Nothobranchius furzeri: one gene and its partner. The protein of the gene in region 2 purifies or fractionates together with the protein of the main gene of each other region. This does not show direct contact. Links are inferred from orthologs where the notes say so. Each region holds a gene or a part of one and is shown on either strand. Other genes may lie near its edges.

Region 1 (4,479 bases), on a different chromosome or scaffold from region 2:
CATCGCCCTCCTCTGGCGTTCGAGCCCTTTGGTGGACATGCTGTTTTTAAATATGCTCTATCTAAATGTGGTGTACTCATCTTAAACCCGACTAAAGGACTGCTGTTTAACTCTTCTGGGACAAAAGGATGAGGATTATTGACAACATTTATTTTTCATTTTTTGAGACAATTTGAAAGATTTTAGAATGTAAAAATAATCAAATTAGATGTTTATTGTTTCTTTAGTTACCAAAAATGGACAAAGTTCATTTTAAAACATCCATCCATTTTTTTCCACTTATCCAGAGTCAGGTTGTGAGGGAGCAGCAGCCTAAGCAGGAAGGCCCAGACTTCCCTCTCCCCAGCCACTTGGGCCAGCTCCTCTGGGGGAATCCCAAGGCATTCCCTGGCCAGGTGAGAGACATAGTCCCTCCAGCGTGTCCTGGGTCTACCTTTAGGCCTCCTCTCTCACCAGGGAGGCGTCCAGGAGGCATCCTGACCAGATGCCCGAGCCACCTCAACTGGCTCCTCTCGATGTGGAGGAGCAGCAGGTCTACTCTGAGCCCCTCCCAGATGACCGAGCTTCTCACCCTATCTCTAAGGGAGAGCCCAGCCACTCTGTAAAGAAAACTCATTTCAGCCTCTTGCATCCATGATCTCGTTCTTTCGGTCACTACCCAAAGCTCATGACCATAGGTGAGGGTAGGAACGTAAATTGACCAGTAAATCTAGAGCTTCACCTTCTGACTCAACTCTCTCTTCACCACGACAGACCGGTACAACGCCCGCATCACTGCAGATGCAGCACCAATCCGCCTATCGATCTCACGCTCCAGTTTTCCCTCACTCGTGAACAAGACCCCGAGATACTTATGTTTTAGTCTTCTAGTTTTAGTAGTCCATTGTTAATTTTTGTGTTGATCTTGTCTGTTCTTATTGCTGTAAAGCACACCGAGTTGCCTTTGTGTAGGAAATGAGCCATCAGACTACAGATGCAAATTAGCAACTATGCTATAATCTGGCCCATTTACGATCGATACAATGTATTTGATTGTTTATTAATGTCATTGTCCTGAATAAAGAATTGAATTAATAAAGCTGTCTTGTCTTAAACTCCTCCATCCCTGACCCACAGAAGGCATTCTACCCTTTTCTGACTCGAGCATGGAGTTGATTTTCATCACAGCTGCTTCACACTCGGATGCGAACCGCTCCAGTGAGAGTTGGAGATCAGGTTCTGATGATGAACAGGACCACATCATCTGCAAAATACAGAGACTCATTCCTCGGGCCACCAAAACGGATTCCCTCAACACCTTCGCTGCTCCTAGAAATCTTTTTTGTTTTCATTTTAAAACAATTATTATTTATGGGTTTAACAGTTATGTTTTTTTTTATCCAGGGGCTCATTTGTGATAATAATTTTCAAATTGGGCATTAATCATCTTTTGTATATTCATTCTGTGTTTGACATATTTGTGGGCCTTAATCAGTTCTTTTTAAAACTTAAAACACTAAAACACCAGATTTTTCACCTACGGTTCAGACACACACACACACACACACACACACACACACACACACACACACACACACACACACACACACAGGGACTTTTATTAAACTTTCCACTGTGAAGACTGTTTTAAAGTCATGAGTTCAGACTGAAAAACAAACTCAGTGGTTAAAACAGTAATAATGTAGGATTTTCTAAAAGGTTTTCAACATTTATTGGATTTTAAAATGATTGAAATATTTTTTTAAACAACTTGGAGATAAAAAATCTTTAAACCGTTCAGAATAGCTAGAGTAAATAATCCCCAAAAGAACTGGGCTTATATTATCTTTATGGTTTTGTTGGGTTTTAGACGTTATTAGTGGGTTACTTCTTCATTTGCTTCTACATGGTACCGATGTTAAGTGATATAAAGAGCAGAGATGCTTGTTTTGTTATTTATGTTTTAAAACCTAGAGCTAGTTAACCAGGAGCTAACTGGCAGTCATCATCATCTTTATTTATAATTCAATTCAATTCAAAGATACTTTATTAATCCCAGAGGGAAATTTGAGTTTCAGTACACACAATTCTGAGATCAGACAAACATAGGCAAAGACACATGACAAGAACTGGTGACTGTGGTCATTCGCAACCCGAGTCGCGCGACCTTCATAGAGATCAGAGAGTTACATGAGGATGGAGTAAGGTGGAGGGAAAAAAGGGCACTTCAGAGTTACCCTCCACAGGGAGGGCAGCTTTGCTATGCAAAGATGCAACAGACTTAAGACATCACACAACATAAGTAAGTGTCCATTAGGTGGGGAGGTAGGATTGCGGACTCTCCGCACATCAGTGCGTGCGTATATAGAGCCCCTTACAGGCATGCCACCAAACTGCTGCAGAGTAACTAATTAAAACTGATAAAATCACCAAAAACAATCAAAAACCATAAAGTAAAAATATGTAAAAGATCAGCAACATCTAACCCAGAGAGTTAAAAGCCAAACCATAAAAGCGATTCTTCATCCTTGTTCTAAAAACCTGCTGAAGTCTGATGGAGAGCCTCACAGACGGGAAGTTTTGGTCCTGCTACGCAGAACGCCACATCCCCTCTCGTCTAGTTAAACATGACCTAACTTAGTTAACAGTTAGCTAGCGCTGTTGTCCCTCATTTAGTGACTCTAAACCAGTCGGACATCTTCACTATGACACTTGAGGCTGTTAGCCCCTGATGCTAACACAGAAATCTGTTCTCAGATCAGCTTTCAGACCTTCAGCTTGTTCAGGACCCCGCTGTTCTCCAGGTTCTGGATCAGCAGGTCCCTCAGCTCCGTGTCGTCCTCCGCAGCCGACATGTTGACGCGAACCGACGCTGACTAGCTTAGACAGCAAAATACAACAAACAAACAACTCTACAAAATTAAACAACACAATAAACAACACGGAACCGCTGCGGAGGATGACGACTGACGAGTCGGCTAAACGTCTCGGTGCGACACCGCCACCTATCGGATGGGGGTGTGGATTGTTGTTTATCTTACTTTTATTTTTATTTCATTTCATTTTTTTTTCGATTGATTGGTTTTTCTAAACTAATAATGCTAAACGTGTTTAGAATTTTTAATCATAGTTTTATAAATAAGTAAATAATAATTGTTGTGAAGCTGAGGTTATTTCTTCTGTTATTCCTTTAAGTTGAACTTTAGTGCCACCTGCTAGATAAACTGGCATAGATTCATTTCAGTTTCCGGTTTATTCCAATTTCTTTCTTATTAAATGAAATAATACTTCTGCGTTTTTAACCAAGTCACCTAAACAATGGACTGAACTATTTCAAGATTTGTTTTCCTCCAAAAAGTCTTGACAGAATTAGATTACTTCATGGACAAACATCCTCCTCGTGGTGAGAACTTTCAGATGTGGAAGACATCACACAGTAACTAGTAGAACAGTGAAATAAAGTTGAAAGATTTAATGAAGATTTAAGGCAAGCCAACTATTTCATTTTTGGAGGTAGTTGGGAGGTTTGTTTCCTCGGGCTTGTAGCGAGCAGGAACTCAATCGTCATGTTGTTCATATCAAAAACAAAAGTGTGTCAGTGGCTTTCCCTATCAGTAGATGGTCTAATTGTCCTGGAGCCAGAGGTTGAACTGACCTGCTGCTCCATACGAGGCCCGGTTCTTCTAATGTGAGGTGACCTCTTATCTCAGAGCACAGAATAACTAAAGTTAGACAAGCAAGCTCCTAAACTGCACTCTGCATTAGTTAGACGTTGGGTGTTTAGACTGGGTGCAAAACTCTTCGCTGAGTTATGAAAGGGTTCTTAAAATATAAGGTTGAGAAGAACTTCTGCAGGAAATTTGATTAGTAAGGAAGCTTAATTTGGTGTTTTAACACACTAATACACATCAGTCCTCAGGGCTCTGGATGTTCATGGGAAAATCATTTATAAATAATAAATGAAACATTTTGTTGTAACGAGTCAAAGATTTAAAGTTCGTTAAGGACAATTACAGATAAATGAATCATTCATGTTTACAAAAAAGATTAAAAATGTTTCCTTCATCTCAAAACTTATTTGTCTTTCAGATTTCCATGTTTGTGTTTTTAGGTCGAGACTTTTGGGGAGAGGAAAGAGTTTATATGTCAAAGATCTGAGAGGATCATTTTTAAATAGAATCTGAAAAAAACTTCATTTAGGAAAGAAAACAAACCCATTATATATATTTGTTTTATTGGCATCTACATGTATGTGTTAATAAAGCCACGGTTAATATTTCTACATCAAAGCTGGTTAGATCTGACCCACATGTGGTCCACATCTGCAGCTTCTTCTGAGTCAGCATGAGCCACCAGCTCCTCAGACGTTCAGTTTATTCTGATCCCGATCTTCAGATCTCCCGTCAGTGTGAAAACTGCAGCCGCAAGGATCTAAGGTGGCCCAGTTTCTGATCAGATGTGGGTCTTGGTTTACATTAAAACTCTTCTTTCAACAAGAGG
Region 2 (4,443 bases):
GTCTCCATTTCTGCTCCGTTCTGGACAATACGGTTGTGATTACGTGCGCGTGGTTAGAGGAAAGCCTCTGCGTGGTATTCTACTAAAGCCTGAGTCAGTGGTTCCTAGCCTCTAGTGCCAATCGCTTCATACTGGTATCTTTGCCTAGACAGAAATCTAATAATTCTCTGTTCTTTAAAAGGCTCATTTTGTTTGGCTTCAGAGAGCCTTTTTGCTTATAGAAGCTCTTAGAAACCCGTACCAGCTTGAGTAAATATATCAACGTTTTAATTAAATAAGGAAAATATTTTTATACCCAGGTTTCTTTCTCATCTGTTATCTTTTCTCTGTCCTCTTAGCTTCTTAAAGTAAGGAGGAAAGCATAGCAAGTTAAAAGCTAACATGATTCTGGAAACAAAAACGTCTACACGGAAGACGTGTTAGTGATTCAGCCCTTAGTGTCTAATGAGTAATCTGACTTTTCACAGGTTAAGCCAATCAGGCTGCATTTTGTCTGATTCTGATTGTCGGATTACTTTTTTTTTTTGAGTAGTCTCCAAAAAAAACATTGAAACAACAAAACTGGTGTCTGATCATTACTGAACACTCGAACGAGTGAAGAACTTCCTACCTCCAGCAAGTCATCCAGGAAACTGCAGGCCAAGATATCTTGAATTTTAATCTTTCCTGTTAACACACGTTTCTTTACATTAGAGAGACACAAATGTTCGCTACGTCTGCACATCGTTTACATCAAAGAATACGCAAACTGAGCTTTGTCGACGAGGGTGCACGGACTAACGAATCACCTGAACTCACCGGTCCGAAGCGGATCGAGGAAGAAAAAAAACTTGCGAACAGCCGTGCAGACGTAGAAAGAATAAAACGATTTCTCCAGTCCGTCCAGCTGAGGTAGAGTCGGGATCAGCTCTAGGATGTAGTTCTCTAGATCCTATAGGGATGAGAAACATCACACAACCAATTAGATCAATAAATTAGATTTATGTGTGAAGTGAAACGGGTGTTTGACTCTTACTGATTCTCTCAGGTATCCTTGTCCCGCTACATCATACAGACTCAGGCCAATTCGGGTCTGATGCAACCAAACTAAACCAGAACAGAAATGATCCCATACTTATGAGAGCCCCATGCAAGCCACCGGAGCTGACTAAAGCAAACATTAAAATAAATAACACGTGCCGCAGAAACCTTTAATCTAACAGAACAAACAAATAACCTTTGCAGTTTGTTTCATTAAAAAGTCAAAAAAGAAAAGAAAAGAAAGACTTTTTTCAAACCTTTCCTCATAACGTAGTTAAAGAACTGCATGATGGATATTCGGCCGTACGGGTCACTGTGCAGCAGTTTGCCGTAAACTCTGGCTGTGAAAAACTTTCTGTAAGACAAACAGATGTACGATATATTAGCTGTCTGAAATAAAGGGAAATTAATTAATGCGTTAAAAGAATTAAAGGTTTGCAGTTTCCAGAAACTAGGATGCTCTTAAGCAACTTTTAATGCAGTTATACTTTAGTGTCTTCCTACTTAAATCTAAAGTTTTCAGGCACTTAAGCATCAAACTCTTGGGTGCAAATGAGAGCAGCTCTCTGTGCAGAACCCTGTTCTACGAGGAAGAACCAACTCCTAGTTACTCACCTGCACTTTTCTCCTGCCTTCTCCCCCACCTGCAGGTAAGCTTCGTAGTTGATCATGGCTTCATCTCCATTCACTGGAGGCACCTGGTGTTTGTCTAGCAGGAACCACAGATTCTACAAAAACACAACACAATCCATCTGTGACCATTTTTTTCCTGTTAGAGACTGTGGGAAAGGAGTTAAGTGCTTGCCCCATAATCGGAAGGTTGCAGGTTCGAGCCCTGTTCACTCTGCTGCTGCAGTGTCCTTGGGCAAGACACTTAACCCACCTTGCCGGTTGGGGGTGGTTGGAGGGACCGGTGGGGCCTGTGTGTGGCAGAATCACCTCTGTCACTGTGCGCCAGGGCAGCTGTGGCTACAATGTAGCTCATCACCACCAGGGTGTGAATGTGAATTACTGATTGTGTTGTAAAACACCTTGGAGGGTTCCAGGCCTCTAGAAGGCCATAACAAATACAGGCCATTTACGATCTGCTGAATAGTTCTGTTTTTACCTGGAGCTCTTCATTGTCTAACAGTTCTCTGCTCTTCCTCTGGAGGAAAACGGCTCTGGATTCTTCTCTGAGCTTCTGAAGGAGCAATTCATCCTCTGCTGGAAGCTGCAAAACATCATCATCACACAGATGTTTTCACAACATCTGGATCGTTTCAAATCAACTCACCAGGACCTGCTTCCATAGCTTAAACTCTTAAAACACAGCTTGCAAGATTATCTTGTACGTCTAAAGCAAACTATGAAGAAACTACAAACTGTTTACATGTATTGTACCATTCAGCATTTGAATAAACAACTACCTTATAATAAAACCGTGGTATGGTTTTATACGATTTGTCATTATCGACACCTCCTCTCCATTCTGTGTAATATTTGGTGAACATTTCAGTTTCTTCCTCTTTCTTTTCATCTTCACTCCTCTCGTCTTCTCAAAGAAGAAAAGAACGGACAGAAAATCACTCAACAAAACCAAAACATGACAAGCCTACGTTAGCTCATCAAAACAACACAGTTTCTGACCCTTTTTATAGTTGGCGAGTCTTCTCTTGAGAATATCCGCCCAGTTGGAGTCCTCCTCTTTAGCCATACCGGCTGAGAAAACAACTTAACATCAACTTTATAATGTTTTTCGTCAAAACAGCTAGTTCACGAAAGAAGCTAGGAAGATTCAACGTCAAAGTGAAATAGAGCTACTTCCGGTTAATTGCCATGTTTTCAAAATAAAAAACAAGACGTGAAATTTATGTATAACATCTAAACGTTTGAATGACAAAAATATATTATTTTTTTGTCCAGATAGATTATATGCTGATGCAGCCTCAACAACACAAAATGTTTTCATTTGCTTTGTAGCTTTATTTTGAAACACTAAATGTTGATAGTGTCACTTTTTCAGAAAACGAGAAATCGGGGCTTCTTTCTTTCTCCAAATGTAAAAACTGAACGCAAACCCCTAAACAAACGTTACTTTATATGTTAAAACATTATTGTTCTACTTAATTATACCACAGAATCAGAATACTTCTCAATCGAAAAATGACATTTTTCTTCTTTCTTTCAAAATGTGTAAATTTAAATATTTTGTTGTTTTTGTTGCAGCAGTTGTAAGTGGGCGTTTTACATAAAATTTTACAAAAATTAATCATTCCTTTTTCACATTTCGTGCTTCAAACGCTAACTAATTGTAAAATAGAATGGCGTTTTAGCGGTGTATTCTGTAAATTCTGTGTAAATCTGAGGTACCAAAATGCAGCATCGGAACTAGTCTCGTGTTGATGACGACAGTAATGTGCGACCTGGGAGGCATGCTTTATCCAAGCGCAAACACCGTAAATGAGCTGATTTAATGGTTCTTTTTACGTACTTAAATAATCGTAAGTTATATTTATGTCTATATAATTATAAATCCAGCAGAACCATAAAGATATATTTCAGTTTTAAGTAACTTGATATTTCTACTCATCAGTGTTTTTCAATTTACATTCCAAACAAAACGTACATTTTTTTATGAATCATTCATTTGGTAAAACTTGTTTATGCATTTATATCTCGGGTTGAAGTAAAAACCAATATATTTTACCAGAAAATCCTCTGCCGGGTAGCTGTTAAACACTATAAAATGGGCTCTAATTTAATATTAAAAGTCAGATTATGTTTAAACTCGCCTTTGCTGCCTTCCTCCGCACGCTTTCTTTGCACACAATACATTAAATCAAACCTGGGTGGCGGACAGATGGACAGAAGAAACAGTGGACAGGGTGATGGACAATCTAGAATGAAAAAAATAACTTATAAACAGGATTCAGAGGATGGAAGAAGTAAGAAATACACCTTGAGGCAGCTGCCTTCTTTTCCTAAATCTGTTTTTGCTGCTGGGACTGCAAAGAAGATAGCTAGGATTCAGCAGAAGAAAGCATCGTTAGTCTCTGAAGATGAAGAAGAGCCTCAACGCAGAACAAACAGAGGAGCAGGTAATACTTTTATACCCAGATATTTGTATAGTTACACTACTGAGAGTCTTCTACCTGCAACAGTAACTTTGAGATCTTAATCCCTGTTTACAGATTTAAAAAAGCAACAACATAGTTTATGGAGGAATTTTATTGTTTGCATTTGCTGCTCTGAAATAGACGTGTTTGACAGGAAAGCTGCAGCCTCCTGAAAGGCCCCTTCCTCCTGATGAGTGGAGGAAGATGAAGGAATCTCTCGGGAATCCAAATAGCTTTGACTGCCAGATGATGACTTCTTTAGTTACCGCTGGGTCAGATCTAGACATTGCAAAGTAAGACAAACACAAATGTGTCTGACCATTTA

The links.
Region 1: the proteins of ppp2r3c (region 2) and cep43 purify together in Homo sapiens (affinity purification with mass spectrometry; 3 studies listed by BioGRID and IntAct, counting the BioPlex papers as one, with this or other methods). This does not show direct contact. The link is inferred for Nothobranchius furzeri from reciprocal best matches to the Homo sapiens genes PPP2R3C and CEP43.

What each region holds. Positions count from the first base shown.
Region 1 is NC_091742.1:15,835,558-15,840,036, forward strand, and holds the start of cep43 (centrosomal protein 43), read right to left. Parts: upstream 2,981-4,479; 5' UTR 2,835-2,980; coding exon 2,751-2,834; intron 1-2,750. UniProt on the Homo sapiens protein: Required for anchoring microtubules to the centrosomes. Required for ciliation.
Region 2 is NC_091758.1:40,632,974-40,637,416, reverse strand, and holds the start of ppp2r3c (serine/threonine-protein phosphatase 2A regulatory subunit B'' subunit gamma), read right to left. Parts: upstream 2,833-4,443; 5' UTR 2,717-2,832; coding exon 2,650-2,716; intron 2,555-2,649; coding exon 2,430-2,554; intron 2,234-2,429; coding exon 2,129-2,233; intron 1,749-2,128; coding exon 1,636-1,748; intron 1,376-1,635; coding exon 1,278-1,375; intron 1,087-1,277; coding exon 1,016-1,086; intron 932-1,015; coding exon 799-931; intron 667-798; coding exon 611-666; intron 1-610. Other genes in the region: prorp (mitochondrial ribonuclease P catalytic subunit), read left to right, coding at 3,749-4,100, 4,273-4,411. UniProt on the Homo sapiens protein: May regulate MCM3AP phosphorylation through phosphatase recruitment. May act as a negative regulator of ABCB1 expression and function through the dephosphorylation of ABCB1 by TFPI2/PPP2R3C complex.